5 linked regions of the Danio rerio genome follow. The protein of the gene in region 1 interacts with the protein of each later gene in a biochemical or structural test. Links are inferred from orthologs where the notes say so. Each region holds a gene or a part of one and is shown in the gene's direction. Other genes may lie near its edges. The genes, in order: lrp1ab, dab1b, thbs1b, lipoprotein lipase and apbb1.

Region 1 (6,602 bases):
ATAACACATTCATGAATATTAATTTATTTGTAAAATTGTAGGATATTAATGAGCTACTTATGTTTATCTAGCATCCCAAGATACTCTCCATTATTATATTATATTACACACACACACACACACACACACACACACACACACACACACACACACACACACACACACACACACACACACACACACACACACACACACACACACATATATATATATGTGTGTGTGTGTGTGTGTGTGTGTGTGTGTGTGTGTGTGTGTATATATATATATATATATATATATATATATACACACACACACATTTATTTATATATATATATGCGTGTGTGTGTGTGTATATAAATAAATATATATATTTATATATATATTTATATATATATTTATATATATATATATATATATATATAACAAATTGATTGCATTTACATTCCATTCACTTTACTGTGATTACAATTACTCAATGTGTCTACTAAATGAGTTATTGGCTGTTAATTGCTCTGTATGGATATTATTATAGTTACAACCCGACCATACTGCAGTGTAATACTATAATTTTAACAATTTGCTTCACATAATACCTATTAATTATTCATTTATTTTTACCTGTTTTAATTATTCATTTATTTTTACCTATTATGTATTTGTAGTACATTTTAAACTTATATGTAAGTTATATAAATTAGATTGACACCTAAATTGTACATACTAGTGATGTTTCAGTTTGTAATTGTAGTTTTTAATACCACAATAAAAATCCTACCTGAACTAAACATTTTTAAGGACAAATAAATGAGTATAATTTAAGGACAAATAAACATTCTGTATTAAAAATTAAAACTAAATTGCAGAAATTGCTGTGATCGTATGCTGTATCCCTAATCAAACATATTTTGTAATGCTTTATTTATTGAATTAAATATTTTGAATGTGTTAAATTTTATTGTTTTTATTTAACACCATGTGTTATGTTAAGTGATATTACATGACAGTATAATATATGAATCTTTATTTCTGTGTGTGTCTGTTAGGATGGCTGTGATCTGAAGTGTGAGGAGGATCAGTTTCAGTGTAAGAATGGTCACTGTATTCCGCTCCCCTGGCGTTGTGATGCTGATGTGGACTGCCTTGATGGCAGTGATGAAGAGCGCTGTGAGATTACTGGTATGCGTGTCTGTTTATTGCAGGCTTATACATGTGTATTCTTGTTAAGATTGGTCTAATGGATTGATCTGATTTTTCTACTCCTGCTCTCTCAGAGGTGCGGCACTGCTCCAGTGAGGAGTTCCAGTGTAATAACACTCTGTGTAAACCACTGTCCTGGAAGTGTGATGGAGAGGATGATTGTGGAGATAATTCAGATGAGAACCCTGAGGCATGCAGTAAGTATACACACACACATACACGCACACACACACACGTTTGTTTTTATAAAAAGTGGGGACATTACATAGGTTTCCATACATTTTATACATCACAAACCGTATATTATATTGCCCTCACCTTGACTTACCCCTAAACCTAACCATCACAGGAGACTGTGTGCAGCTTTACTCTCTGATTAAACTCATCCTGTGGGATTTATAAGCATTTTGAGAAATGAGGACATCACCAATGTCCTCACATTTTCCTCCTTTTTGTAATACCTGTGTCATACCTATGTCATTATACAGATTAGTGTCCTGATATGTCACAAAACACGTAGACAAACACACATACACAAACACACACACACACTCAACAAAAAGAGATTGGGGAAATTTGGCTTTTCTTATAGTGTTTGTTTTAGTCTATTGTAAAAAAAATCATCCAGAATTTACATTTAACTGTTACATTTGTCAAACATTATCCATTTGTATCTGTAGATTTCAATAACAATGTATATTTTTAATAAAAGCATTTTAATTTAGGAGCATTTACTTCATTTACACCACACTTCATGGTTATATTCATATTTATATTTTGAAGGCTTTGACAGAGGAACATGCTCATGCATAATTTGCCTGAATATATACATTTAATTCTACAAAGTAATTGTGAAAATCATTTTGACTTTAATATGTCCAAAAAAGTTTAAACCAAACCTTTTTGCATGCTTTATGATGTAGTTGCTTGTTTGCATATTTAAATATAGCATTTCAGAGAATGATATACATCAGAATGTTTGTAATTCTTAATGTAATCAATAGTGAAGTATAATGGTATTTATTTATTTTTTTTATTTACCTGCCGGTATCTGTAGTTTATTAAACTTTCGCCGTTTGCTAGTTAATTTATGTAGGAAATTTTAAATAGTGTGTTAAAATAGGATTTCTGGTAACACTTGATTTTTTTGTCACAATTCACTATTAACATATTAAAGGTGCAGAAGGTGATCTGCCACAATGCTAGCCTGTTAGCATAAATCTCTAAAACACCGTCCCTCCCCTGCCGTCCAAAGCCACGCCACCTGAAAACACAAGCGCACGAACCTTAATGAAGATGACAGCAGAACCCTCTCTCATGTGTTGAGCTAAAGCTTGGCCGGCGTCGTGCAGGAATTACACTCATTATTACACTCAATTCTAAGCTGTACTTACATGCTACTTCTGACCGAATATTCAGAGTAGCGGTAAACACCATAGGAAGCGCGTCGCACGTTGTCAATGTTCAAAAATTAACCAATATGAATATAAAACCATCTTAAGCTAAGTAAAGTAGGCTAGGCGGAATAGCGTTATTTACTGATGTTCTGTTGTTAAACTAAATAAAATCTACATTATTAATGCTGTAAAAGGCCTTTATGAAACAGAAAATAGTCACATCAATCTTACACCAGAAGATTTCAGTGGCTAAACTACACTTCTGTGCCTATAACTCAGTCATAACAACCCAGTCTACATCAGCTCTGCGTGACAAAAATAGTTTCAAATCATAACATTACCTGTCCAAGAGAAATACTTGAGCCATGGTGTCGTCCTTCCTCCAGCATGCGAAAGTAACTCCAATATTGATTCAAGATTTTTAAAAAGTTTCGATTCAGCATGTTTTTACTGCTCGCTCTCTCTCTACCACTCTCGTGAACGCGCATGCACGTGTGTCCACAAATGGAAGAGCTGCGTACAAACAGGTGCGCAGTAACTTAAATTTGCATTTGCTGACAGACAGTTTGAGCTCCGTATCAGAATTATGGGAGATGTCAGCTCGACATTTAAATTGGACAAACATTTTTTAGTCTTATGCCTTAACCAGAATATAAAAATACATAAAAATACATTTAGATCACTTACTTTAATCAGTACTATTTGAATGTGAAGAGACTTTCAGCCAGCACAACAAAAAATGTTTCTGAAGGCAGTCACCTACTGCACCTTTAATTAACAGTCCTAGCTTAATAAACTAGTAATTAGCTTTTTATTAATAGTTATTAAGGTAGAAGTTGGGTTTTAGGTATTTGGTAGGATTAGGGATGCAGAACAAGATTATACTTCACTTAACTTCTAATGAACAGTTAATATCTTAATAGTAGGTAAGTTATAAGTAGGCCTACATGGAAACACGCAGATTTATAGCCCAAGTCTATTTATTTGCTTGTGTAAATGTGTTTAAATTTATATTTATTCAGCATTTAAATTATTTTAGTAATATTATTGACATATGAAAGTGTTATAAAGTAATATTTTCTAGTTTTCAGTAGATATTATACAAGAGACTTGCTTAGTTTTCAAAATAAGTGGATCTACTGTAGATGGATTTGCATTGTAAATATTAAATACAATTTAAAAGCTTTTATTTAGAAAATTTCATATATTAAGTTTTAATTTACGATACTCCCAAAATAGCAGAAATAGCAAAAAAAATGTCAGCAGATTCTGTCTGGCCCTAGTTAGCCAGTAGCTAATAGCACAAATTGTCACCTAAGCTAAAGTGTTACCAGACTTTTTTACTATGTCTGTATGGTATTTATTTCATTTATTAGTTATTAAAAAGTCTTTAATTTGATTTTAAAACCTTCTCAGTTGTCAATGTTTTGGTTGATGATGATACATTTAAAACAGAATGAATGCACTTAAAGCTAAGATTAAATCTTCTCTGCTGTTATTCAGGACACTTCCAGTGCCCACCGACTAGAAATTTCCGCTGTCGTAATAATCGTGTGTGTCTCACGAGAAGCAAGCTGTGCGATGGAGTGGACAACTGTGGAGACAACTCAGATGAGGCCAGCTGTGGTGAGTTTTCAGCTCTGCTGTGCATCAGTCATTTATCAGCGAGTGTTTGCATTAACTGTTGTGACGTGTTCATACAGACTATGAATCCACATGTGATAAAGACCAGTTCAGGTGCACCAATGGCAAATGCATCAGTGCCAACCTGCGTTGCAACTTTTTCAACGACTGTGAAGACTACGGCTCTGATGAGATCGGCTGCAAGACAGGTGAGATGCTGCTATCTGTATAGTACAGGTTTGTCACAATCAAAAATGTAAATTATATTACAATTGTATTGTTTTAATAATTATATCATAATAATAATTATACATTTATATCTTGTCAAAGTGCAAAATGCAAATAGAACTAAAAAGTGAATGAGAAAAGGTAGAAGTTCCAGCGAAATATTCTCTGAAATAATTGAATGCCATCCTTTTATGGTTTTTATTTTGTATTTTTATATATATATATATATATAAACATTGTAATTCAAATGAGTTTATTTTAATGTCCCCATCGATCGTTATGGATAAAATAAACGTTTTAATATTATAACTTGATATTGAAGTGCTCTAAATTTCTTTTTAAATTTTTCTTTTGTTTTTTGAAGACACCATGCTGAACGACTGTAAGAGTAACAAATCTCTGTGTGGAGACGGCGATGAGGCTCACTGTGTATCTAATGGCACAGACACCTTCTGCTCCTGCAAACCTGGTTTCCAAAGTGTTAGACACAACACCTGTGAAGGTACTGCCTGCAGTCTTCATAAGACCCAAAGAGACTTTATTACTCAGCACGTTATATCAGAACCTACAGTGTGCGTATTAACATTGTTAATATTGTTGCGTTTTTTTTCAGATAAGGATGAGTGCAAACAGTTTGGCGTATGTTCTCATGTGTGTAATAACACCAAAGGCTCCTACAAATGCAGCTGCCACAAATACTTCACCAGGATTAACCACACGTGCAAGGCTGATGGTACGTACTTTAATTCTTGATTCCAAGTCTGAGGTTGTCTTTAAGGGCAAAAATAACGAAATTCATTTATAAATCATTAAAGATGATTTTGAAATGAAAATTGGGGTCCTTGGAGACTTGTAAAATGCAAGTCAATGCCTACCAGCATTTTGAAAAGAAATAATAATAATAAATTATAATACCTAGTGGCAACATCCCGCTCTCCCTCATGAAGCCAATACAGAAGTAACTGAAATTACAATTTATCAACTTTCCTTTGGGGGCTCCAGGAACTCCAGATGTCCACTGACTGCAATGCTAAATTTTACAGCTGATAAAGACATGTTTATAGCCTGGTACAAAAGATGGTTTTGATGTAAATAGCCAATATTACCTTTTATAACAACTGTGAGGGGGGTGAATTTTTTTTCTATAACTCATCCGTTTAGTTTTTATTAAGTTATATTTAGTCTGCATAATTAAGGGCGTGGCCACTTAATTGACAGCTAGATCTCACTGGTCACGGTCATGCCACGTCAGCTGATTAGCCGCTGAACTTGGCATATAAATCGTATTTTTGTTTTGTTTAATGTGGCTTTACACAGTCAATGGCCTTTTGGAATTATTTCTTACAATTATCAGATAATATGGCATGCTGTGTGCACTTATTTGTGCTCACAAATCATTTAATTGGCCTCCATTTCCCAGGTGAGTGAAATGATCTGTTGACTTCTCTCCATCTGACAGATTGATTAACTGTAGGCAATAGAACAGTCATTGGAAGCATTATCATACAGTTTTATGCCTAGATTTCATAAATAGCTTAGCAGTTACTAACACAGATTATATTTGAAGAATTTGGAAGCAATTTGCTTTTTCCTCCTGTAAAAAAAACTGTATAAAAACAATGCTTAGTGGCTCAATGCTCCACTGACGGTGCAATGACGTGCAAACAAAATGGTGACAGTTGGCCATGCCTACTTGTAGCTTCATTTGTGCTCTTCAGAAACTTCTGGGTGACGTCATGGATACTACGTCCGTATCTTTTACAGTCTATGAATAATGCATGATAAATAAAGGTTTTATGAAGTCAAATGAGTCTGTGCCAGAAACTGAATGTTATTTACAACACACAGAAACCAATTTTATTGTGAGCTGCTCACGGCAACAGATTGAGATCCTGCATGTAAGATTACAAACTTGTATAATTAATGGAGTTTTTACAACTTATTAGGCATTTAAAAAAAAATAAAGGCATTGTTAAAATTATTTAAAAAGTTACCACCCATCTGGTGACTAGCACTGTTACATAAACTTAATTACACCTATTTTTACTCTCCAAGTAGGGCTGTGCAATATGACCGTATATATGCCATATGGACAATATAAAAAAGTCTACACATAATGCTCTATTGTTTATTTTGTAGTGTCACAAAATTCATTGTAATATTGTTTAATTATTT
Region 2 (7,352 bases), on another chromosome or scaffold:
AGAGCAGCGGCAATCACAGCAAGGCAAAATCAAGGGTCAGTTCCTTTTACCAATGGAAATTTCACACTGCAGATGAATATGAATAGACTCTGATTATCCACATGAGCGACTCAACAGCCAAAGAGAGGAAATTGCTCATTTATTTGTCATAAGATGCAATTATTAGGCAAGTTGCCTGAAACCGTCACAATGAACTTTTAGCCACACAAATGTGGAAGCTTTTAAATAAAAACATGTATTAACCAGTTAAACTCTGCTGTTATTTTGGGATGATCCGCCTGGATTTTGCCTGACCAAATTTAAAAGCTTCCCAAATCTACATGCAGAGGTGTAAATGCAAAAAATGTGGTATCATTTTAAAGAAAACCCTTTAAAGAAAACACTATTGAAAGTGTGTAAAATATCTGTATATGTTGTCTGTGTTATAATAAACACCTAATAAAAGAGGCGCTTTTTGTATTTTTTTTTTATAAACTCAAATGTGAAAGTGTATATTTTAGATTGTGTGTGGTCTAGCGTGCTGTAATTAATGTTGGTGGTTCCTGCACATGTCTGTAATCAAAGGAAACAAGAAAAATGTCTCCACCATAATCTATGCAGAAGTTATTGTATTCCAACTGATGAGAGGTGCTGTACAAGCCACAGGGATCATCATTGTTTTCATATTTCACGATTCTTTTGTTTGATCAAACATAATTCACTGTGTTTGGAGCACGTCAGACATATAAAAGGATTACTTATGCACATCACCTCAAAAACAGAGGAGAATGGCCCTGAAGCGCACAGCATAAGGTGAGAGATGACAGCTGTCTGTGCTATCTGGGGCTGCTTATTGATCATAAATGTATTGTTTTCACTTCTGCGCCATGGAAACACCGAGATTCATTCGACAACAGTTTGATATGTGAATATAATTCAGTCAAAAGAATGCTAGAACCGTATGAGCACCGGCAAGAGCTTTCATTTGAGCTATAACTTGTACATGTGTCATATGAAAAATATGAAAATGAACTAATGTTCAATACCCAGCCATCCCCATAATAATACCTTAATAATTAAAACTCATTCATTCTTTTTCCTTCGGATTAGTCCCTTTATTCATCAGGGGTTGCCACAGCAGAATGAACCACCAACTTATCCAGCAAATGTTTTACACAGCGGATACCCTTCCTGCTGCAACCTAGAACTGGGAAACACTCTCACATTCACACACACGCTCGTACACTGGCCAATTTATTTAATCAATTCCCCTAAAGCGCATGTGTTTAGACTTTGAGGGAAACCGGAGCAACCAGAAGAAACCCACACAAACACAGGGAGAACATGCAAACTCCACACAAAAATGGCAACTGATTCAGGCTCAAACAAGTGACCTTCTTGCTGTGAGGCCACACTGTGCTAACCACTGAGCCACTGTGCCGCCCACATTATAAGTAATTAATTAATTTTTAAATTAAGTCATTTTTTTTAGATATTTATGTTTCAAAATGTCACTATATGACAGTATTACAAATCAGACAAATCTTAGATTAGGCTCTTCCACTGTAAATGACACGTTCAAATGACGTCCAGCAGGATTAAAATGTAGGACAAAAACAAACACAGACGGCGCTGACATCACTGCAGACACAACAGAAACAACTGGGAACGAAAGCATCTGTTAAATATCAGGATTAGTGTTTATATCAGCAGTCATGCCACTGCACACTGAGGCTGCTTCGATTTTAAAAACAAAATAGCGCTCAAAGATTACGGTACAAATTTTTACAGCAATGTTTGTAAATTGACAAACTAAATACATGGACATGATCGTAGATGACAGTTGTGAACTGCCAACAACAGTCAGTCAGAATAAAGGATGCCTCTCTAACCTGAAAAAATACTACTGTAATTTACAGTAAATAAATTTGTTTTAATAAATTGTTTTGGATTCATCGTAAAAATACAGCAACCGTAGAATTATTGAACTGGTAAACTAATAAATACTGTAGAATACTTTACTTTTATGCTGCAGTAAACTGTGGTGTATAGTTGCAGAAACTATTAGCGGTTGCTAGAAGGGATACAGCTGCAGCCAAAAGTTTATTTATTGAATTAGGCCTACATATTAATTTTATTAATGTGTACCCGTAAACTCAGCCCTCCTAGTATTTTATTATATTATTCATATTATTTAGTAAATTGCCCATTAAATTGTATCCCTTCTAGACTACCTCAGTGGAGTTGACATTAATAAAATGAAATTTAATGGGTAATGGGTCAATGGCTTTGAAGTAGTCGTTAATAAAACACAAGTAATTAATTTAATTAATAAATAATCCTCGACTTCCGACCGCAGGTGCATCCCTTCTAGAGTTACCTCATGGGTGTAGAAGTTAATAAAATGCAATTTAATAGCAATTTAATTATTACTATGAATAAAACTCGGTATAATTACTATTTTTACATTACTGTAAAGGTAAGATTTAAGAGTGGTCGTTAATAAAACACCGTTAATTAAATTAATCTTTAACTTCCGACCGCAGATGTATCCCTTCTAGACGTTTACCTCAGCTGGAGTCGACGTTAACAAAATGCGATAATGGGTAATTTAATTAATAATATTAATAACACTCAGTGAATGACTGTTTTAACATTACTGTTAAGGTTGAGGTCAGGGTAGTCGATAATAAAACACAATTAATGGCTAATTTAATAACAGAAATAATTCCAGCTAACCTCCGACTCCAGCTGTATTCCTGCTAGACTTTACCTCAGTTTATAAAATGCAGTTTAATGGGTAATTTACTGAATAACATGAATCATACTCGGTATGATTACTGTTTTTATATTTCTGTGGGGATTATGTCTGGGGGTAGTCGTTAATAAAAACACAAGTAATGGTTGATTTACTGAATATTGGAAATGCGTTAACTTCTGACCGCAGCTGTATCCGTTCTAGCAACAACCGTCAACCGGTGATTTTGTTTGTATTTCGATATGTATCGCGTTTCCATAGCAACACATTCAAGCAAAATAAAAAATAACACTACAGCATCAACTACAGATATTTTTATTAATGTTGGACTCCAGCCAATTTTTAAACACCAATCTAAAACATTATTCGTACGTTTTTTGCCCTGTACATCACCTGAGTGTTTTGAACATAGACCGTCAAAAGCACTACAGATTTGGGCATCTGTTAGTTTATATATATGTAACGGGTGGGCTTCTGATTCCCCCATTTTCCACTTAATCCTCTCCCATCCCCCTTCAACTCATCTCCGCATTATCCTCCGTGCATTTGAATGATTTTGTCACGGGGGTCTTTCTGCTTTTTTTTCTCCCCCTCCCCATCGCCTCATTTCTCTCCCCTCCGCCGATTATTCTGCTGTTTTCATTTCTCTCCAGCGTCGAGAAGCGGAAACTGAGCAACTTCACATGCTGCCTCTTGATATTTGACTTTCGCATGTAGCCTATATGTACATGCAGGAATGGATTTAACTCATAATCCGAGCACTGGAGCTGCTGGACATTGATAATGGTTGGAAATAAATGGATGTATATCGGAAGTGACCGCGACGAGGTGAGTAGCAATGCGTTACAGGTGCGCAGTGTGTTTATAAGACACTATAGATATTTATAAGATATTATAAGACATTATAAGATATTATAGACGTGATATTTTATTTCCGAACTCTTTATTTTGGTGTTTTTTTATGAGTTCTGCAAATATATAGATGTGAAAAGAATAATATGGTTAAATTAAAATGCATTTTTATGAAAGCATGATGACAGCAAAATATAATAAATGATGTAGCGTATCGGTTGCTAATTAGCTGATTGTTTTTTAATTGATCTGTAATTGATTGAATTGTAACGTGGGAAGTGAATCACTGTACTTAAAAATGTGTTAGATTGTGTATGGTTAGAAGCTGGGTTATTTCAACCCAAACTATGGACAAACCCAATTTTTGGTCTTGTAAATGTAATAAATAATTAACCCAGCGGTTGGTTTTGTTCATGTTTTACTAAACAAGAATGCATAATAATAATTAAAAATTAAGTTTTGATATATTTACAGTAGTACATTTACAAAATATCTTAACAGAACATGATCTTCACTTCAATTTCAGTCATTTTTGGCATACAATTATAGATTTTGTGTTAGTTTTGTAGTTCAGGGTCACATTTCTCATAGGATTTTCATATAATTTTTCCAACAACATTGGTTTATATTCATTTGTTTTTGTCTATTGAGTCTTCTATTATGTAAGCGTCAGTCGAACAAATGCACTTTTCAGGGATGTTTAGATTTACTCATCAGTTTGCATATCTGATATGATTTCACATCGCATGATCCAAACCCCCAGCACCAAATCCCAGAGTCTGTCTGTTTGTAAAATACGCTTTTGGTATTGTTGTGATTTCAGCTATCCTTATTTTTCGGCTATTAAAACTAAACCCGGACATAAAAACACTTTTAGCATAATTTAGCGCATGGAGTTTTCAGAATTTGTTAATCTTACAGTCTTTTAAAATGCTGCTTATTTTTTACCCAACAATGGGTCAAACCAAAAGCTGTTGATGTTGTTATTTATTTATTCAATTAAATTTGAATTAGAATTATGTGTTTTTGTCTTGATTCTAGTCTAAATATCTAAAACTTCTAGACAAGAAAAAAAATATTGTCTTGTTTTTAGAAATAATGCATCAAAATTTAAACAATATCTTGTACTTGTCTAGAAAATGCTTCTTTGTTTAAGATTTTTTTTAGATATTTCAACTAGAAACAAGACTAAAACGTTTAAGTAGGAACATTTTTGCAATGTAGGTTGTTTGTGTCCATATTTTGGGGTAAAATAACCCAATATTGTTTATAATGTATGAATTAGTTATGCAAAAATAGCAGAATGGGAATGTGTTTGCCGAGTGTCTACATTCAAAGTAAAAATGCTGGGTTATTTCAACTCAAATTTGGGGTAAAATATGGATGAATCCAACTTTTTGATTTATTTTGGTCATTCATTCATTCATTTTCCTTTGGCTTAGTCCCTTATTTATCTGGGATCGCCACAGCAGAATGAACCAACAACTATTCCAGCACATGTTTTACACAGCGGATGCCCTTTAAGCCACAATCCAGTACTGGGAAATCTTTTGGTTATTTGTTTTTATTAAATTCATAGACCAAATTTAACCCAACCTTTTGGGTTTGTCCACATTTTACCCAAGTTTGGCTTGAAATATCCCTCATTTAAAAAAAAAAAAAAAGTTTGAATGCATTTATATCCATGAATATGGTTTGATCTGGAAACTTTGATGCTGTGATATTAGTTCTGATTGTCATATCATTCAGATTCAAGACAGTCACATTATAAATAAATAAGCACAGAAATCAGTATGATCAGCCTCCCAACAAAACCTAAAAATTAGCATGTAAAAAAGACATATAGGTTCTTCATTCGTTTATCCTTCGGCTTAGTCCCTTTATTCATCAGGGGTTTTATCCAGCATATGTTTTACACAGCGGATGCCCTTACAGCTGCAACCAAGTACTTGGAAACACACATTCAAACACACACATACACTACGAACAGTTTAGTTCATCAATTCCCCTACAGCGCATGTGTTTAGACTGTGGGGGAATCCGGAGCACCCAGAGGAAACCCACGCAACACAGGGAGAACATGCAAACTCCACACAGAAACGCCAACTGACCCAGCCAGGACTCGAATCAGCGACCTTTATGCTGTGAGGGCACAGTGCTAACCACTGAGCCATCGTGCCGCCCCTAGTTTTGATTTAAATATTATAAATAATTCAGATTCAAGACAGTCAAGTTATAAATCTGTAAACCTAAATCTTTATATAAATAAGCATAAACACATTGCATGTAAAAATGATAAATTGAAGATTTGCTGTTCAAACTGTCTAGCTTGTGGTTCACTCCTGAAATATGAAGAGTTTAGATGCAAAAACCTCTAAGTGGCACCTGAAATTTCCTCTAAAGTGTGCATTTTTCTCAGGCTTCTGTGTCTTGGTTCAGTAATTTCACTTTTGTAGGAAAGAATAGGTCACCTTCATCGATTTTAACATGAAAGAACTGAACATAAACATGAGAGGCGGAGAAAAATGCTCGTTGTAGAAGAAAATTCTAGATGGCACTTAGAGGTTTTGCATCTGAACTCTTAATATTTTCTTGCAGATCTACCTTATATACTACATGCAATGCTCAGACAGTGGGGTTTGGATCCTGCGATGTGAAATCTTATCAGACTGACATGAAAACTGATGAGTGAATGTGAACATGCCTGAAAAGCGCATTTGTTTGACTGATGCTTACATAATAGAAGACTCAGTAGGCAAGACAAATGAATAGTAGATATGAACAGAGATTGAGTAAATGTGACCCTGGATCACAAAACCAGCATATATGTTGGAGGATGATATATATTTTTTGGCATTTAGGCAAAAAAGTACATGGCAAGGGTCAAAATTATAGATGTTTTTTTCATATTATAGTCAAATGTTAAGTATTATATATGCAGGCATATAGTCAAAGTCAAAACGATTCACCTGCCTGTAAATTTTCTTTTTCAAATATTTTCCAAATGATGTTTGACAGATTCAGTGAATTTTTCACTATATTTTATATCATATTTTTTCTTCTGGAGAAAGTCTGATTTGTTTTATTTCAGCTTGAATAAAAGCAGTTTTGTAATTATTTTAAAATAATTTTAAGGTCAATATTATATATATATATATATATATATATATATATATACAGAGGGTGTCACGATCCTCCAAATTCTCGATTCGATTACATTTTCGATTCTAAAGGCACGATTCGATTCGATTTTCGATTATGAATAATTAATTAATTAATGACCAATTAATTATTAGTAGCCCACCGTTTAAACTACCTGACCTGCATGGTCTGTTTAACCCATAAACAAATTATACAGTAAATGAATAAAGGCAAGACACACACATAATTACCACCTGTCAATCACTTTTTCTGCGGGACTCGTGAATAGGCAGTGATCTGTGTCGTTATAATGGCGTCGGTAACAAAGACGCACAACCAACAGGAACCAGCCAACAGTATCTGAGGTGTTCGCTAAAATGACTAAGTACAAGTGAGTGAAAGATTGAAGCAGTCCTCGGACTGCCTGGACCTGCTGTCTGGAGCGCATGGCTGTGTGTGCGTCTGTGTCTGTGTGGTCACGTGATGTGCATTTTCAGAGGTAGAGAGGAAGGAGGGCTGCTCAGAAATGCTACACGCCACTGTGGATGTCAAATCGTTGTTCTAAAAACAAAGACAGTGTAAACAGGGCCTGAGTGTGAACTTTTCGCGAGCGGATTTGCAA
Region 3 (5,389 bases), on another chromosome or scaffold:
CTTTAGTCAGGTTAGTGTCATAAAATGGCCAAATAAATATATATAATAGATATATAATAGTCAAAATAAAATATACATACAATATATGCACTTTTTGCAAGGTTTAAGATGCAAGATTTAAGGTAGTAACTTCTGTTGAACTGTGAACAAATCATTAAAGCGTTTTTAAAAACATTGTAAAATGAGGTGGCATTATTCTACTCAGTTCATTCAACTTTAAAAGCAGCTTATTAGAATAAACAAATTACTTTAAGTAGACCATGAATAGCCCCAAATCAAACTCAATTCAAGTGTTTCTGCAGTAAGATTATGGTCTTGTTTAATAATAATGTTATTGATGTAAATTATCTGAAAGAACAAAATACAGTGAGAGCTCAAAGTTTTAGCCACTAATATACATGTCACAATAATGTCACGTTGAAAATAGCAAGTATAACAAGATTTCGTAATGTATATACACACACATACTTACAGTTGAAGTCAGAATTATTAGACCCTCTTTATAGTTTTTTTCTTTTCTTTTTTTATATTTCCCAAATTATGTTTAACAGAGCAAGGAAATTTTCACAAAATGTCTGATAATATTTTTTCTTTTGCAGAAAGTCTTCTTTGTTTTATTTCGGCTAGAATAAAGTTTTTAAGCCATTTTAGGGTCAAAATTATTAGTCCCTTTGAGCTATATATTATAATATTATATATATATATATATATATATATATATATATATATATATATATTATAGTTTCCATAGTCTACAGAACAAACCATTGTTATACAATAACTTGCCTAATTACTCTAACCTTCCTAGTTAACCTAATTAACCTAGTTAAACCTTTAAATGTGACTTTAAGCTGTATAGAAATGTTTTTAAAAATATCTAGTCAAATATTATTTACTGTCATCCTGGAAAAGATTAAATAAATTAGTTATTAGAAATGAGTTATTAAAACTAGTTGGTTCAGAAATGTGTTGAAAAAAATCTTCAAATAGGGGAAGAAAATGGGAGGGCTAATAATTCTGACCTCAACTGTATAATAGAGAAAACTAGGCAAGACATATATTTAAATTTGTGATTTATTTTCATCCATTATGAAAATGATGTTTGTAAATGTATATATGGTTGTTGTCTTTTTTTTTCTTTTTTTTTTAAATAAAAGTACCTGAAATCCAGAAGAGGAACCCATAATTTAAAACGCAGTAGAAATGTGAATACTGAACCAAAAATTTTAAATATTTATTCTCTACTTGAACCCCAACAGCTGGACTCTGATTCTGACCGCGTTGGAGACAAATGTGACAGTAACCAGGATATCGATGAAGACGGTCACCAGAACAACCTGGACAACTGTCCATACATCCCCAATGCCAACCAGGCTGATCATGACAAGGACGGTAAAGGAGATGCCTGCGACTACGATGATGATAATGATGGCATTCCTGACGAAAAAGACAACTGCAGACTGGTCTTCAATCCAGATCAGCTAGATTCTGATGGTGCGTTTTACACCGGAATATCTGTAACACTTCACATTGCACTCATAAATGTACAGATTTATACTTAAGCGTTTACCTTCCTCCTTTTGCAGGCGATGGACGTGGCGATGCCTGTAAAGATGACTTTGACATGGACAATGTTCTGGATATCTATGATGTCTGTCCTGAGAACTTCGATATCAGTGAAACCGACTTCCGCAAGTTCCAGATGGTTCCTCTGGATCCCAAGGGCACTTCTCAGATCGATCCCAACTGGGTGGTTCGTCATCAAGGAAAAGAGCTGGTTCAGACAGTCAACTGCGACCCTGGCATTGCTGTTGGTAAGCTAAAAAAAAAGGGTAGAATTAAATTTAATGAATGCTACGACAGAAAAATATATGGAAAAACACCTGGAAATGCTAACTTTATATACATAAACGGTTAACAAAATCCTGCATGGTACCTTAGCTTGCAAAGACACATGCATTATATAATGTATTTATTAACTAGCACAAAAATGAAACAAAAATAATTATTATATTAAATATGACTGGATAAAACTTTATGCAGTCCATTAATTTATATTCCATTCTGAATTCAAAAAGCATTAAAAAATGAATCATACAACTAAAATATGTCAGCAACCACAAAATTCTTACCTGTTTCTTCAAACTCTTAAAGGTTTTGATGAGTTCAATTCAGTGGACTTCAGTGGAACATTCTTCATCAACACTGAGAGGGATGACGACTATGCTGGTTTTGTTTTCGGATACCAGTCCAGCTCTCGCTTCTATGTGGTCATGTGGAAGCAGATCACACAGACCTACTGGTCCAGCACACCTACCAAAGCACAGGGTTACTCAGGGCTGTCCATCAAAGTGGTTAATTCCACCACAGGACCTGGGGAGCATCTGAGAAACGCCCTTTGGCACACTGGAGACACACCAGGACAGGTAAAGTGTGCTTCAATGGATAGTTCACCCAAAACTGAAAATATACTCACTATTTACTCACCCTCAAGTGATTCCAAACCTTTACGAGTATCTGTCTTCTGTTAAACATGAAATAGATATTTTGAAAACCTGTAACTATTGACTTCCAGTAGTCAGAAAAACTGTAACAAAATTCTGTGGAAGTCAATAGTTACAGGTTTCCAGCTTTCTTTCAAATATTTTCTTTATTTCTTAAGTCAAACGGATAATATCAGGTTTGAGAGCCTTCATGTGAATGCTAAATTTGACTTGATTTGTTATAGGTGCGCACATTGTGGCATGACCCAAAGAATGTGGGATGGAAGGACTTTACTGCTTACAGATGGCACCTGACACACAGACCAAGAACTGGACACATAAGGTAATATTATAAACATTATTAAATCCAAAACCTAATCTAATATATTTAAAAAGCTGCAAAAAAATATTGTTATATATCGAAACTAAAATTTTTCTAGTGTATTTTTTATTACAAATACCATCTGAAATCATCATGCAGGCAAATAATATTAGTCTATAAATAAGTCTAAAATTAAATGATGATGCTTAAAACATGAAAAATAGCAAACATTTGTATTAGTATTAATGTGTCATACACATTCTTAAAAGGCTATTTTCAAAAGTTCACACTTAGCTGATGATTGATTATAAAGCGTGTTTGGCATAAGATCCTCAAGCCCAGGGCTCCCTCCCGTTGCAGGGCAAGAGTGGAATTTGAGCTCAGGTAGATCTTGAAACTTCCCTGCCGTAGTAGCTAATGAACAGATAGGGATTGCTCTTAAGATTTAGCTACTTACTAGGAGCACGTCTATAGTGGCGATTTAGATTAGTCAATTAGTCAGCCGGGGGGCCCATGGGAAACCTATGTGACCACGGGGAGAACATGTAAACTCCGCACAGAAACGTCGGCTAGCTTGGTAACGACTAGAACCAGTGATGTTCTTGTTGTGAGGCAACAATGTTAACCACTGGGCCACTATGCCACCCATCCAAAAAAGGAGGAGAAGTAGGGGTGGAAGAGGGCATTCTTCAAAACGAAGATGGTTGTGATATGGGACTTAGGGTATTTATAGCTACTTAGGAATCATCTAATTGGTGAATCATAAATATGCTAATGCATGACCAGCTGTGTTTAATCATAAGCACGTGATCCTCTCGAAATGAGTTTCCAAATTATCTTCACTTAATGTGCTGACAAAATATTTCTCTGCATATTTCAGAGTGGTCATGTATGAAGGCAAAAAGATCATGGCAGATTCTGGCAGAATCTACGACAAAACATACGCAGGCGGAAGACTAGGTCTCTTCGTCTTCTCACAAGAGATGGTGTATTTCTCAGACCTCAAATACGAATGCAGAGGTGAGCATCAACACATCGCATAGACTTCTAAACAAGCACTCATTTACATCAATTCCCGAAACTCAACAATAACTCTTCCTGTCTTTTCCTTTTTCAGATGCGTAATTGCACAGGCTGGAAGTTTATCAAAGATGCACCTTTCGATATAAATATGTATTCCAAGCAAAGTCCAGGGACAGATTCGATGCTACTTTTTTTCTGCTGTCGCTCGCACACCGGTGGAGTGAGAAAGCAGCTGGTCAACTTCAATGTAATGTCACTGGTTGGGATAGAAACCGGATCTAGACTCCTCCACCATTAGCAGGTAGAGCAGAAGAAAGTCTCCCTCGCTTGGCTTATTTGGGAAGACCGAGATCTCTCTGAAAAACCTCATTGGGCTCTGTGTGGGGAAAAGCTCCCAGCAGACAGCTATGCACTTCAAAACCTTTATTCTCTCTCTCTCTCATGCGCTTCTATGCTCTATTCATGAGATAAGCCAAAATGATGGCTACTTCAAAGAGCAGAAGCCTTTTAAAGAAAGGTTACTATTGTGATATTCAGTGTTTTATTAAAACTGTAAACTGAGAAGCAAAGCAATGAGAATGTTTCAGATATCGAAGTATGTAACAAGTAAAAGATCTGCCAGCCAAAGAAGGTGATTTTTAAAAGGACCAATCTGTCATTTTATTATTATTTTGGCTAAGCAGAAGGTTTGGCAGGAGATAACTCATGGTATAGTGGGCATAGTTTTCTCAGGGCTCGATGGATAAACTAGTAATTCATTTGAAATGGCAAAACGAGAGGTTGTAGAGTATGAAGAGGAGTTGGACAGAGCAAGGTTTAAAGATTCTGCAATACAAGAAACACTCGTTTGACTCTAGATAACCAAGCACTCCCGTCTCCTTTACAAATGCTGATTTCTAAGGGAAGTTTAGACTTTTAAATATATGTATATTTATGTAGCACTTACAAAATGCTTTGGCTAGACAGATTTTACCCACACTTTAAGCAAGTTTTTCAACATCGTAAAGAAAAGCAAACCCTCATAATCGAAGCTCTGTCCGATCCAAGAAATGTTCATCCATCACTTCCAAAGGAGACGATCTGCTGAGCCGTTTCTGTAGAGAGAGAGATAAAGAAAAACTTTAAATGTACAAATATTACCTCATTGCTGTTTTGTAATTTGATCGAGCAAAAGCTTTTCTTCCTTTGCTTAAAGAAAACAAATCGGTTGCCTTATTGCTACTGTAGCACAAGTTGTAAATAGTATATAGAACAAACAGCCCAACGTCACAATGGATAGAGTAAAAATGGGAGTCAACAATGTGTGTTTTTTAAGCAATACATTTGCCAGTGCTTCAATGTCCAGTACTTTTTCCTTCTTATTTTTTTTTTTTTTAAGTTGATAAATTATTATTTGTTGTCTCTGTTTGTAAGACTGTTTCATATGTGTGTAGATAAATGCTATTTAAATAATTTATCATGGAGTGCCGCCTAAGACGGAGGCGATTCCATCTGTATAAACAGTTTGCACACTGACGTGAGGATGTTCGGTTCTTCATTGTTTGTATCTTTATTGTGTTGT
Region 4 (7,100 bases), on another chromosome or scaffold:
CCTATACATTCATTCATTCATTCATTTTCTTTTCGGCTTAGTCTCTTTATTTATGAGGGGTAACCTCAGTGGAATGAACCGCCAACTTATCCAGCATATGTTTTACGCAGCGGATGCCCTTCCAGCTGCAACCCATCACTTGGAAACATCCCATTCACACACATTCACAATTTAGCTTACCCAATTCACCAATACCACATGTTTTTGACTTGTGGGGAAACAAGAGAACCTGGAGGAAACACATGCAAACTCCACACAGAAATGCCAACTGACCCAGTCAGGGCTCGAACCAGCGACCTTCTTGGTGTGAGGCGATTGTGCTACCCACTGCGCCACTGTGCTGCCTGCCCTAAATATATCGAAAGTTAATTTTTGATTAGTAATACACACTGCTGAGAACTTCATTTTGACAACTTCAAATTTGAGTTTTCTCGAAATGTAAGTTTTTTCAACACTCCGTTCCCAGATTTTCCAATAGCTGTATCTCAGGTTTTAAATGATTACATATATATATATATGAATATTATGTGACCAAACAGGCTGATAATCATTCTAAACCCAACTAATGCAGTAATATCTAAAGGACACTTATAAGGGTGCCAATGACAAACATGAATTCTTCAAATTCCTGTTGACCGTTGCATAACCTGAAGGAGGACAGAAGACATTTCGACATCTGAGACTGCAGATATAAAGCAACAGCCAGACGCACTGCCAGCCTGAAATGCAGAGACAGTCACAAGGCGCTCGCTCTATCATGTTTACAAGCCTTTTTGCACTATATACTGTTCTTTATCTGCACAACTCTGGTTTGCACTCATTTGCCCTTAATGTCATTTTATTGACATTAAGGGCAAATGCTTGCATCAAATTCAAAGCTCTGATGTTTGCCTACAAAGTGACTTCTGGCATTGCTCCTTCTTATCTGCTCTCACTTCTGCAGATGTATGTGCCCTCCAGAAACTTGCGTTCTGTGAATGAACGTCGCCTCGGGGTTCCATCCCAAAGAGGGAAGAAATCACTTTCGCGAACGCTCACGCTCAATCTGCCCAGTTGGTGGAATGAACTCCCTAACTGCATCAGAACGGCAGAGTCACTCGCTGTCTTCAAGAAACGACTAAAAACTCAACTATTTAGTCTCCACTTCACTTCCTAATCTGCAATTGCCTCTCTGAATATCACACTAACTGTACCAAAAAAAAAAAAACACTAATACTACTAATACTTCCCTTCTTAGACTTTACAGACCTGAAACTTGCCTATAGCACTTATTCATTGTTGCTCTTAGTTATGTAAATTGCTTCCTTGTCCTCATTTGTAAGTCGCTTTGGATAAAAACGTCTGCTAAATGACTAAATGTAAATGTAAATGTATTGTTTACAAATTTTTATTCCTTTTGTATATTTTTAGACTGCATTTTATGTACAATTGTATATAATGTAAATTTAATTTTTCTTAAAATTCTACTTTTTATATTAACATTATATGTTATAGGCACCTAGCACCTAATTCTTTATATGTCCTGTACATGTGGCTGAATTGACAATAAAGCTGAGTTTGACTAATATCTCTATTGTTCCTCTAAAATAACAATGAGCCTCCTGTTCTTCAGACTTATCTACAAAAAGGACTAATTATTATTAATAATTATAGTGAATAACGAATAAAAGCTGGCACTGACTGTCATTCAAAACAACCAAAAAAATTACTAAAGTCCTTACTGCTGCTTGTGTGTGTTTAGATTTTGATAGGCTTAATATTATAATAAAACTTTTTTTCACATTATATATAACGCCACAGTCTACCTGAGTATTGTTGCTGACCATGTCCATCCCTTTATGTGTACTCATCTTCTGATGGCTACTTCCAGCAGGATAATGCGCCATGTCATAAAGCGTGAATCATGTCAGACTGGTTTCTTGAACATGACAATGAGTTCACTGTACTCAAATGGCCTCCACAGTCACCAGATCTTAATCCAATACAGCACCTTTGGGAATGGGAGAATCGCATCATGGATATGCAGCTGACAAATCTGCAGCGACTGCGTGATGCTGTCATGTCAATATGGAGCAAAGTCTCTGAGGAATATTTCCAGTACCATGTTGAAGCTATGCCACGAAGGATTAAGACAGTTCTGAAGGCAAAAGGGGGTCCAACCTGGTACTAGTAGGTGTACCTAATAAATAGGCCCACACGGAACCTGCGCGCACAGAATTCCACAGATTTTCCGCAGATTTCTGCAAATTTTTAGCCCATCATTAATTCTGTTTATTTACTTGAGTAAATGTGTAAATCTGAATTTGTTCAGTTTTTATTCAGTAATTTATTACTTTTTATTTTATATATTAAGGTTTTAGTTATGACACTCCACTAGATACCCCCAAAATAATTCCGCAGAAATCCGCAGATTTTTACCAAAATTCTCCCCAGAAATAGCAAAAAACGTCCGCAGATTCCGTGTGGCCCTACTAATAAAGTGAGTGTGTGTGTGTGTGTGTGTATGTATACACATATATATATATATATATATATATATATATATATATATATATATATATATATATATATATATATATATATATAATAAAATGTCTTTATAATTCAACCATAATTCATTAAAAATTGTTTTTAATTATATAAACATTTAAACCATCTTTTAAAAATATTTATCATGCAAAGAAAAATCTTAATATGCTTTAAAAACAGGTTTAACTGAGTGGATTTAGGCTGCTGTGACCATAAGCTTTTTGCGTCACTCTCTTTAAATGTAAGTGTTTAGCATCACAATGTGTAAATCTGTGCAAAGCCAGGCCAACACACAAAAAGCCTCATTCATGCATATGCATTTGTTTACGTTACGCTTGTGATTGACAGTTGGCCGAATGTAAATCTCGCTCATTTGATTTGCTGATAGCGCCGCGCTTTGAGTTGATAACCACGCCTCTCGCTCACTTTCAACCAATTGCTGAAGGGCGTGAAAAAAACACTCATTGTTCGGTATAAAAGCCGTGAACAGCTGCAGGTTCACAATGATAAATAACACGCGGAGCTTCCGTTGAAATCATTCGCTTAACATCATTGCTTAACACTGCTTTGCTCTATTAAAATTATTGATTTATTGTGTAACTTACTATGGGACAGGAAAATTTCTGGCTGCTGCTAATGGGATTTTCTCTAATTGCGAGCGAACCAATTTTCAACTCCACTGAAGAAGCGTTTGCAAGTAAGTCTATCTACTATTCGACGTGTTTCTGGTTCATGTTTAACATTTAATGTACAATCCAGCAGAAATTAATGCTCTATATGACCTGTAGAAGTCTATCACACACATATACTGAGTGTAAGAAGCTTTTGGGTCTTTATATTAGCCCTCAGAATTACATTCCTACGTTTTAAACACAAAAACTAACGTTAAAGCTCCTCATTCGTGGATAATACAGCAAAATTAGCTTGACAAACTTAGTTTATTGATTTAAATGTATGTTATATATTTTTATTGAAATATTTGACAGCTTACTTTTGCAATAAGTGCATTGCTTTCAGCTGTAGAAATATGTAAACGTATATAAACAACGCAATAGATACATGTTTGCGTTTAAATTGTCAACTCGCAGGTCCAGGATCAGTGTGGTACTATTTAATAGGATTTACTTGTACTGGACATTGCATGTGGACTGATTCTGGATTAGCAAGATTTTATAAAAGTCATGTATTACAAAGAACAATGGCTTGGAAATCATAAATCTTAGCAACTAGATTGTGTTCAGATGAGAACTTTAACATGCACATACAGCAAATTAAATAGTTAAATGCATATGCTAAGTAAATAGTTCTGATGTGAATGATATTACAAAGTGTTTACTTATTACTTTTTAGGTAATTTTACAGATTACAGTGACATTGAGTCTAAGTTCTCCATCAGAAGTGTTGAATTTCCAGACGAGGATCTTTGCTATCTTGTCCCGGGACAACAGGACTCCATTTCAGACTGTAACTTCAAAAATGATTCACAAACCTTCCTTATTATCCACGGATGGTCGGTAAGTTTAGTCATTTAGTCAGAAAATGCATTTATTAATTATGAATGAAGCATAACGTTGGTGCAATGTTTATTTATTTACATATTTTTTACTATATTTTCACCTTTCACTCCGCTTCGCTTCCCTATATGCATTCCATGTTGTACTTTAATCTTACTAGGCTTCTGCTGGTTGCAGATTTACTTGTTGTGGTTAGTTACCAAAGCTTTTATAACGGTATTATCACAATATTGACCTATAAGCTGCAAAAAACTGGTATAATAGCCCAAAAATTACTTGGTGTATTGCTTTACAGTATATATAGTACATGCTCATAATAAACATGTTTCAACCAAAATAAATTGCTAAAGGATTATAGTGCACAATAGGTAATGCTATTATAGTTACATGTTATAAGTTAATTAAAAAGCTGTATTAATTAGTTATTTACTCTATTTAATAAAACAATTACATATTTAGATTTTAGTTGTTAGACATTAGTTTTTAGGCACTATATTAGAAGTTAATCAAGTTAAACACACGTTAATTACATTGACTTTAGATGAATTAACTGATGTTGACTTGTAATATTAACAGAATTGTAAATCTTGTATGCCAGATTAACATGTGAATGTTTGAAAATAAATCAGCTATATTTATGCACTTACCGCTGTGTTAACTAACCACTAATACAACAACATGACTATTTTTAAGGGCACTCTAAAACTTTCAATTATAAATATTTATTTGCAATTATATTAGATGATATGCAAGTGATAAAGTACATCCAGGAGGTTGTTATCACAGAATAATGTCTGAGCGGTTTATCGGCAGCCTGATGTGAAAGACGGTTGGATATAACTGAAGGGTTTATTCTGCGAAAATAACCATTTTGGATGTACTTTATCCCACTTATTACATGGCTACTCGCCACAAATCATAAAAATTAGACTTAAAAATTCTGCTCTGAGCCACAATATTTTATTAATTCTTTATTTGAACGCAAAGCAGAAACAAAAACAGCTGATGGAGTATACACTAACCTGTGCATTATTCAGACACAAGATGGCGCCAATCAGCCAAAAACACAAAGCAAATAGGAATGAAAACAGCTGATGGAGTATACACTAACCTGCACATTATTCAGACACAAGATGGCGCCAAACAGTCAAAAACGCAAAGCTGACAGAAACGAAAACAGCTGCCCAACGCAATATTCAGTCAAAAGATGGCGCCAAGTAGTCAAAAACACAAAGCAGACAGGAATGAAAACAGCTGATGGAGTATACACTAACCTGCGCAATATTCAGACACAAGATGGCGCCAATCTGCCAAAAACACAAAGCAAATAGGAATGAAAACAGCTGATGGAGTATACACTAACCTGCACATTATTCAGACACAAGATGGCGCCAAACAGTCAAAAACGCAAAGCTGACAGAAACGAAAACAGCTGCCCAACGCAATATTCAGTCAAAAGATGGCGCCAAGTAGTCAAAAACACAAAGCAGACAGGAATGAAAACAGCTGATGGAGTATACACTAACCTGCGCAATATTCAGACACAAGATGGCGCCAATCAGTCAAAAACACAAAGCAGACAGGAGTGAAAACAGCTGATGGAGTATACACTAACCTGCACATTATTCAGACACAAGATGGGGCCAAACAGTCAAAAACGCAAAGCTGACAGAAACAAAAACAGCTGATGGAGTATACACTAACCTGCACATTATTCAGACACAAGATGGCGCCAAACAGTCAAAAACGCAAAGCTGACAGAAACAAAAACAGCTGCCCAACGCAATATTCAGTCACAAGATGGCGCCAAATAGTCAAAAACAAAAAGCAAACAGAAATGAAAACAGCTGATGGAGTATACACTAACCTGCACATTATTCAGACACAAGATGGCGCCAAACAGTCAAAAACGCAAAGCTGACAAAAACAAAAACAGCTGCCCAACGCAATATTCAGTCACAAGATGGCGCCAAATAGTCAAAAACAAAAAGCAAACAGAAATGAAAACAGCTGATGGAGTATACACTAACCTGTGCATTATTCAGACACAAGATGGCGCCAAACAGTCAACAACACAAAGCAGTCAGAAATGAAAACAGCTGATGGAGTATACACTAACCTGTGCATTATTCAGACACAAGATGGCGCCAAACAGTCAAAAGCACAAAGCAGACAGAAATGAAAACAGCTGATGGAGTATACACTAACCTGTGCATTATTCAGACACAAGATGCCGCCAAACAATCAAAAACACAAAGCAGACAGATGAAAACAGCTGATGGAGTATACACTAACTTGCACATTATTCAGACACTAGATGGTGCCAAACAGCCAAAAACGCAAAGCAGACAGAAACAAAAATAGCAGAATAAAGCGACTGACCAAGTATTATTACAAAAACAGTCGCATGTCAGACAAGCAGATGCATATGAATGTAAAGGTACTTAAAGTATATAGATATGAACGTGTTTACTGACGGACAAGGTGATTCGAAGTTCCCAGATGAGGTGTTATTTAGCAGTTGTTATCTCAGAATAACAAACCTTGGAATGTTGCAAATCTGACCAATCAGATTTGAGCATTCCAGACAATCATATATTTTATTATATTATATTATATTATATTATATTATATTATATTATATTATATTATATTATATTAATCCCTCTTATACTGTCTCTAGGTTGCGGGTCTGTTTGAGAGCTGGGTTTATAAGCTGGTGACGGCTCTGTATGATCGTGAACCCAGCGCTAATGTCATTGTTGTGGACTGGCTGGATCGGGCCAACAAACACTACCCCAAATCAGCAGAAAACACCAGGCTAGTGGGGGCCGACGTTGCCAAGTTTGTCAACTGGCTGGAGGTAGGCAGAGATTTGCATTGCTAGCATTGTACGTTTTATCGCTGTTGTATTTTTGTAATAACGTCATGACAGCCAAATATTACCTCAACCTTAGTACACTAAGGTTGAGCAAAAACACATAAATTAGAGATAATCCTTCCAGGTAAAAATATATAAATAATAATATAATAATAATAATAATGATAATATAATTT
Region 5 (6,602 bases), on another chromosome or scaffold:
ACAAATCTATCTCAAAAATCCAGATATATGCTGCACCAGATATTTGCATTTGACAAAAACAGCCATACCGTTATTTGAGATGTTTGAAAACAGCAAGACCATTGCCCCATTTCAGAAAGGAGATTAAGTGAAAACTCAGTATGTACCCTGAAATGAGAGAAACTCTGGGTTTTCTGATTCAAAACGGCAGGTTTGTTAAACTCGAGTAGGCTGGGTAAGTCAAGCCTGTTTCTGAAAGAGAGGTAACTTTAACAATGTTATTGTACTCTGTGAACCTAACCTGGTTAGTTTCTGCCTGTCTCCACCCCTTTTTTTTTAAGATGAAGCGGTATTACTCACCTTAGCTTTACTTGCCCAACTGCAGTAACGTCACCCCTCTACTGTCATGGGGCTCTATTTTGACGATCCATGCACAAAGTACAAAGCGCAGGGCGCATTGTTTAAAAGGGTTGAGCTTATTTTCTTAATGAGTTATAGGTGTGTTTTGAGAATTAACCAATCAGAGTCTCATCTCCCATTCCCTTTAAGAGCCAGTTGCGTCGCTCCATAGCGCATTTGCTATTTACATGACGACTTTGTAAGTGAGAAAACTGAGCGTTTCACCAGCAAGAAAACAGTTAAACAGAACATCTGCAGAGCAAGAATGAGAGATAAGGCCTCTCATTATCTACTTTAACTTTCGCTCTTGTGGATGGTGAAACCTTGTACTCACAGACATCAATTAGCCTATAAATAATTATTTTTAATTGTTAAGCGCAAAGATTTGTTTTAAAACTATTTCTAAATTCAGTTCTAATCTCCAGCAAACGAATAAATGAACAATAATAATGAAGTGTGGTCAAAAACCTGAGTTATATCCAAATACACATGCTGTGCCCCATATGATCTATAACCTGACAGGTGGACAAATCTAAGCTTGTTTTTAATAAAACAAATATAAATATGGATATAATAAATAATACTGCTAATAATAATAACATAATACAAAAGCAAATAGTCATAAATAAACTAAAAAACCCTCCCGAGATGAAGAAGGCATGACAGTATGGTTTTTATATTTATGTTGGCTAAAAAATAATATTTTTTGTAATATTTTAATTCTTTATATTTATATTCTATATATATATCCTTATTATATCCTATATATATATATATATATATATATATATATATATATATATATATATATATATATATATATATATATATATATATATATTTTTTTTTTTTATTTTTTTTTTTTATAATTTTTCATATCTAAAGATATTTGCGTATTGCTCTACATCTTGTGTGTATTAAGCAGTGTGTAAGCGAGGCGCACAACTAACGCGCTCTGTGCTGGACGATAGACCGGCTTTGTTCTGGTCTACTGAAAAATCTATTATAGTTTCTCAAAATAGCAACGTGCTAGCAATGCACCTCAACACGCCTCCTTTTTTAGACCAGAACGCCTATGGGCGCACATATGACTGCAAATGCATTTGCTATTTAAACAGAATGGCGCAAAAGGTCAAAATGACTCTTGCGCCAAGCTGAAACTAGCAAACAACAATTGCGTCGTGCCTTGTGTTACATTGCGTCGGGTGTATGATAGGGCCCATAATCTTTAAAGGTTAATATAACATTATATTAATATAATATTATATTATAATTCTTTAGTTGATCAGCATATTCTAGTAACCCACAAGTGAGTGCAAATATACATGTTTTTAACATTGGTGCATTTTGTATTTAGATTGCATGGAATGATGTTTCACACCAGAACACATTCAGTGGTGATGAACTCTGGCAGGTAGGTTAATAATGAAGTCTCAGATAATTTTATTCAATTTTTTTTGTTTTGTTTACGATAATATTGTCAGGGTTCCTACGGGTCATGGAATTTTAAAATATCTATTCCAGAAATTAAAAGTCAGAGGTTTTTTACCATGTAATATTTTTGGACTTATTTTGGACTGTTTACCAAAATAATTTTTTTCTACACTATTTTTTTTTTTTTTTTTTTTTGCATGGTACTGTTTCACACCTGTTGTTATGGACAAGTTATTTTTCAGCTCTATTTTATTCTTTTCATGCTTATCAACTCGTATGCCCCTCAAGTTAAATACAGTCACAATATTGTACCTGTTAACCAAGGATAAGAGGCCAGGATAATATATACATTTTAAAAAATTTGTCTTCAAAATTACTCTGTGTTAAAAAGTACAGTGTTTACGGAAACCATTCAGACCCCCGTAAATATTTCACTCTGTTTCATTGCATTTGCTAAAATCATGTAAGTTCTTTTTTTTTTTCTTCATTAATGTACACACTGGACTCTATATTAACAGAAAACACAGAAATGTTGACATTTTTGCAGATTTAATAAAAAAAGAAAAACTGAAATATCCCATGGTCCTAAGTATTTAGACCCTATGCTCAGTATTTAGGAGAAGCACCCTTTTGATCAAGTACAGCCATAACAAAATAGAAAAGGATAATTTAACAGCCACATAAAACAGCAAGTAGTTATAAGACTGTAGACAGCAGACAGTAACTGTAAAACATCAAGCAGCTTTTTAGTCAGTGAAGGTCAAGCAATATCGATATTTAGCTTTAAAGTGGGAACACTGTATAATTTATTTTCTTTCTGTTTTTCAGACGGAGGTTGTATCTTCTGATGAAAGTCTGAAGGAGTTTGAGGGAGCAACTCTACGCTATGCCTCAATCAATCTCAGGTACAAGATGAATCAAAGGTTCCAATATACCCGTATCATCACATCACCCCTGTCCTGCAGCAGCTTCATTGGTTACGTGTTCAATTTCGAATTGATTTAAAAATCTTGATGTTAACATTCAAAGCCATCCACAATCTCGCCCCTCTATATTTGTTTGCCCTCATCCACAATTCTGTTTCTTCTTGCACCCTGCGATCTTGTTCCTCCCTCCACTTGTCTGTTCCCTCTGCTCGTCTAACGTCAACAGAGCATTTAACCGCTCTGCTCTGCGGCTTTGGAACTCACTACCACCTGCCATCAGAAACATTGACTCCCTCACACGCTTCAAATCAAGACTCAAAACCCAATTATTTAAGATGGCTTTTAATGCCTAAATAATTTTGTCTGCACTATTTGCTGTGTAATTTTTATTATTTCTCTTGTTGTTTTATTGCTCTTGTTTATTGTACGGTGTCCTTGAGTTGCCAGAAAGGTGCCTAATTATTATTATTATTATTATTATTATTATTATTATTATACATAAAGTTGAGTATTATTCAGTATTACCAAATTAAGTTTAACATTGCATTGACGTTATGCATTTGTTGACATTTATGTACCTATGGACGCTTCTGTTGCATTCTTATTCATTCTTTTTTAACTGAACCTGTAATTTTGGTTTTTGAGCAACAGGTGCACTGACTTTTTTTCTTCTTTTTTTCTTTTTTTCTATTACTTTTTTTTCTATTCAGTTTTTCTCAGACTGAGGAGGAAGAGGAACAGACTTGTTTCAGCAGTATTGAGGGTTCAAAGGTAAATGCATCGATGGCTGACCACATACACGACCTCGAAATGCTTGTTTTCTTCATGTTTGTGTTTTACAGTGTTTTGCAGTGCGTTCTCTGGGCTGGGTGGAAATAACAGAAGAGGAAATGGCTCCTGGCAGGAGTAGTGTTGCTGTTAATAACTGCATCCGACAGTTGTCCTACCAGAAACACAATCTAGATGACACAGCTGGCATCTGGGGTGAGGTATGTGCATCTACTTGAAATCATTTGAATTTCAAGAAAGGAAGTATCAAAGGAATGTTCAATTAGGATTGGTGGGTCCACCGTTGTCATTTGAAACTCTTCATTCATTTATTTTCTTGTCGGCTTAGTCCCTTAATAATCCAGGATTTTGAGTATCATCTATATGTTCTACAAACCTTGTACAAATAATATGATTGTATGACATTGTTTGCATTGTGTAGGGAAAGGAAATGTTGCTGGTGCTGGAAAATGAGATGCTGAATCTGTTTGAACCTCATGGACAAACACTGCTTCACTCACAGCCAATCGTTAGCATCCGTGTTTGGGGCGTCGGTCGTGATGATGGCAGGTGAGTCTGTGAGCATAATTAATAATTTGCCTACAATTTAACTTGATTTTTGCTTCATTTTTAATTGTAATGACAGCTGACGATATTCATATGATCGTAGACTGACAGATGCACAATGCTACACAAACTGAAGCATGTTTTGCTGTATTTAATTCAATCTTTTCTATGGTAACATCAATAGGCTGTTGAAAGATTGTTTTGTTGTGTAATTCAGATAATACTGCATTGCAATGTTTTAATATTTTCGTTCTGTCTGTTCTGCTGCATTCTGGATCCCAGGGAGAGGTAGAGTTGCTGTGTATATTATATTGTTTTTGTTTGCTCTTGTGTATTTTTACAATGCTAATTTGTTGATGCAAACTGCATTTGAGATTGTCTTTAAATTTGTATTTCATAAAAAGTAACTATATAAATTCCGCCTTATTCTTACATTTTTCACATTATTCTTTACATTTACTTTCATAATAAAATATTATTTTTATTTAATTTTTTATTTTTAGTTGGAGCATTTGGTCTCAGCTCATTCAACATTGACTTAAATGTTGTAACTTTCTGTGATGATAATCTTATTGATTGAAAATATCAGGACCACCCAGTGAGGGATTGCTTTACTGACATTTTAGAGTTTGTACTATTTCAGACATATTTCTCTATAGGAATATTCGTCTTCCTTGTTTTTGCAGCATTTTGTTTCAGAGAATGGATTTAAGTAGTTTTTTTTAATGTACAGTAACACAATAATTTATGTATTTTTCTTTTAATAAACCAAATTTAGAAGACACAAAATTCCACTTAACATCACAAATAGGTGGACTAAGGCTTTGTTTACACTAATACGTTTTAGTTTTAAAGTGCCGTTTTAGAATAAAAAAAGACCCGCGTCCACACTAGCGTTTCACCCAGCGTTTCTCAACAACTCTTCGTCCAGACTACACTGCTGAAACGTCACGTGACCACACACACACTCTTTCATGCGATGCAGCGTATGTGTCTGAGCTCCCGGCAGTCATGTTGGATTCTGATTTCTTGCCAGTGCATTGTGATTTATTACATGTTTTTATACATTATGTCATGAAGAAAGCAAACATACAAATGATTAAGGCATAATTTTTGCTTGTTCTGGCTAATGATTCTCTGGTTACCTCTTATAATATACAGGTTCATAATGTTCAAGTGGATTTGTAAAAGAGAACATCTTTAAGTACACCACAGGTCAAAATTATGGGGTTATTTATTTTCTATTTTTTCGTTATTATCAATTTTGTTTAATAATTTAAATAAAATTGTTTTGTTCATTAAAGCTGCATTTATTAATCATAAAGTTAAATGTATTTATTAAATATTTATTTATTACTGTATGTAGCTTCAAATGAAATTATTATTCCTGTCATTATGTTTATAACTATTACTATTAATAATAAAAATATTAATAAAATACCAATCATGATAATAATTATTCATATTATGAATTCATATTATGATTTCTGAAAGATCATGTGACTCTGAGGACTAGAGTAATGATGCTGAAAATTTACCTTTAAATCACTGAAATAAATAAAAATATATTAAAATAAATTATAAACTACTTTTGAACACTTATTTTATAGTGCAATAACGATTTTTTTTTTTTTTTACACTTTTTACTGTGTTCTTGATTAAATAAATTCAGCCTTGATGAGCAGGATAAGCTTATTTTTAAACATTTAAAAGTCCTCCTGACCCCACACTTTTAACCGGTATATGTGGTCATAGGTGTATGTGACCGATATAGTATTTCTTTGTGTTTTTCTCTATAGAAAATCTTTCTATGATGGAGTCATAAACAATATATTATCGAAATGTCAGTGAAGCATCACCTCTGGGAGCATTGCTAGTGCAGTAAACTTTTAAGACTTTTTTTTACACCAAAGGGTGTTCTAGCAGTGTCAGCTATAAGGCAGTGTTTTGTTCCCCACTCCGGGAATACATATCACATACTTCAATAAGTCCTTTATCGGAAGTTGCTGTTGGTGTGCAGATACATTGGGCTGACATCGATCTCTTTATTTGGCTGTTTTCTTTTATTGCAGGGACTTTGCATATGTGGCCAGGGACAAGTTAACACATGTGCTCAAGTGTCATGTATTTCGATGTGACACCCCGGCAAAAAACATCGCCACAAGCATGCATGAGATCTGCTCTAAGGTAAGTTATCTTTTAATATTTACACTATAATATGTAGGATTGGTTTAATCTCCATTTCAGACATTTATAAGAAGAATTAACACTTGAAATGGATCAGAAAACATAGTGAATATGTGGTGATTGATAGTAGGGGTTTTGTAGTTGACAAGCAGATGCTTATATTCAAAATGACTTCTTAATGAAAATAAAAAAGCACTTCTAACCACCAGAGAACAGCAATGTATAAATGCCATGACAAGTCTATGTTAGATAGAATTTAATTTAATATAGTTTTTTTATTATTATTACAAACGCTTAAGGCCATTGAGGCCACATTGTCTAAAATACAGATTGAAAATATGT

The links.
Region 2: the proteins of lrp1ab (region 1) and dab1b form a complex in vitro, tested with the Homo sapiens proteins (2 studies listed by BioGRID). The link is inferred for Danio rerio from reciprocal best matches to the Homo sapiens genes LRP1 and DAB1.
Region 3: the proteins of lrp1ab (region 1) and thbs1b form a complex in vitro, tested with the Homo sapiens proteins (3 studies listed by BioGRID). The link is inferred for Danio rerio from reciprocal best matches to the Homo sapiens genes LRP1 and THBS1.
Region 4: the proteins of lrp1ab (region 1) and lipoprotein lipase form a complex in vitro, tested with the Homo sapiens proteins (3 studies listed by BioGRID). The link is inferred for Danio rerio from reciprocal best matches to the Homo sapiens genes LRP1 and LPL.
Region 5: the proteins of lrp1ab (region 1) and apbb1 form a complex in vitro, tested with the Homo sapiens proteins (2 studies listed by BioGRID and IntAct, with this or other methods). The link is inferred for Danio rerio from reciprocal best matches to the Homo sapiens genes LRP1 and APBB1.

Annotation. Positions count from the first base shown.
Region 1 is NC_133198.1:28,413,090-28,419,691, reverse strand, and holds part of lrp1ab (low-density lipoprotein receptor-related protein 1), read left to right. Parts: intron 1-1,025; coding exon 1,026-1,158; intron 1,159-1,253; coding exon 1,254-1,376; intron 1,377-4,079; coding exon 4,080-4,202; intron 4,203-4,279; coding exon 4,280-4,408; intron 4,409-4,791; coding exon 4,792-4,929; intron 4,930-5,040; coding exon 5,041-5,160; intron 5,161-6,602. UniProt on the Homo sapiens protein: Endocytic receptor involved in endocytosis and in phagocytosis of apoptotic cells. Required for early embryonic development. Involved in cellular lipid homeostasis.
Region 2 is NC_133177.1:1,741,831-1,749,182, reverse strand, and holds the start of dab1b (DAB adaptor protein 1b), read left to right. Parts: upstream 1-3,382; 5' UTR 3,383-3,565; intron 3,566-7,352. UniProt on the Homo sapiens protein: Signaling adapter of the reelin-mediated signaling pathway, which regulates the migration and differentiation of postmitotic neurons during brain development.
Region 3 is NC_133195.1:31,774,526-31,779,914, reverse strand, and holds part of thbs1b (thrombospondin-1), read left to right. Parts: intron 1-1,259; coding exon 1,260-1,494; intron 1,495-1,586; coding exon 1,587-1,814; intron 1,815-2,154; coding exon 2,155-2,426; intron 2,427-2,728; coding exon 2,729-2,826; intron 2,827-3,685; coding exon 3,686-3,825; intron 3,826-3,922; coding exon 3,923-3,930; 3' UTR 3,931-5,389. UniProt on the Homo sapiens protein: Adhesive glycoprotein that mediates cell-to-cell and cell-to-matrix interactions.
Region 4 is NC_133177.1:58,679,583-58,686,682, forward strand, and holds the start of lipoprotein lipase, read left to right. Parts: upstream 1-3,031; 5' UTR 3,032-3,135; coding exon 3,136-3,226; intron 3,227-3,879; coding exon 3,880-4,043; intron 4,044-6,726; coding exon 6,727-6,906; intron 6,907-7,100. UniProt on the Homo sapiens protein: Key enzyme in triglyceride metabolism.
Region 5 is NC_133185.1:18,264,105-18,270,706, forward strand, and holds part of apbb1 (amyloid beta precursor protein binding family B member 1), read left to right. Parts: intron 1-1,735; coding exon 1,736-1,792; intron 1,793-2,640; coding exon 2,641-2,717; intron 2,718-3,448; coding exon 3,449-3,509; intron 3,510-3,580; coding exon 3,581-3,727; intron 3,728-3,948; coding exon 3,949-4,076; exon of another isoform or gene 4,077-4,084; intron 4,085-6,145; coding exon 6,146-6,260; intron 6,261-6,602. UniProt on the Homo sapiens protein: Transcription coregulator that can have both coactivator and corepressor functions. Adapter protein that forms a transcriptionally active complex with the gamma-secretase-derived amyloid precursor protein (APP) intracellular domain.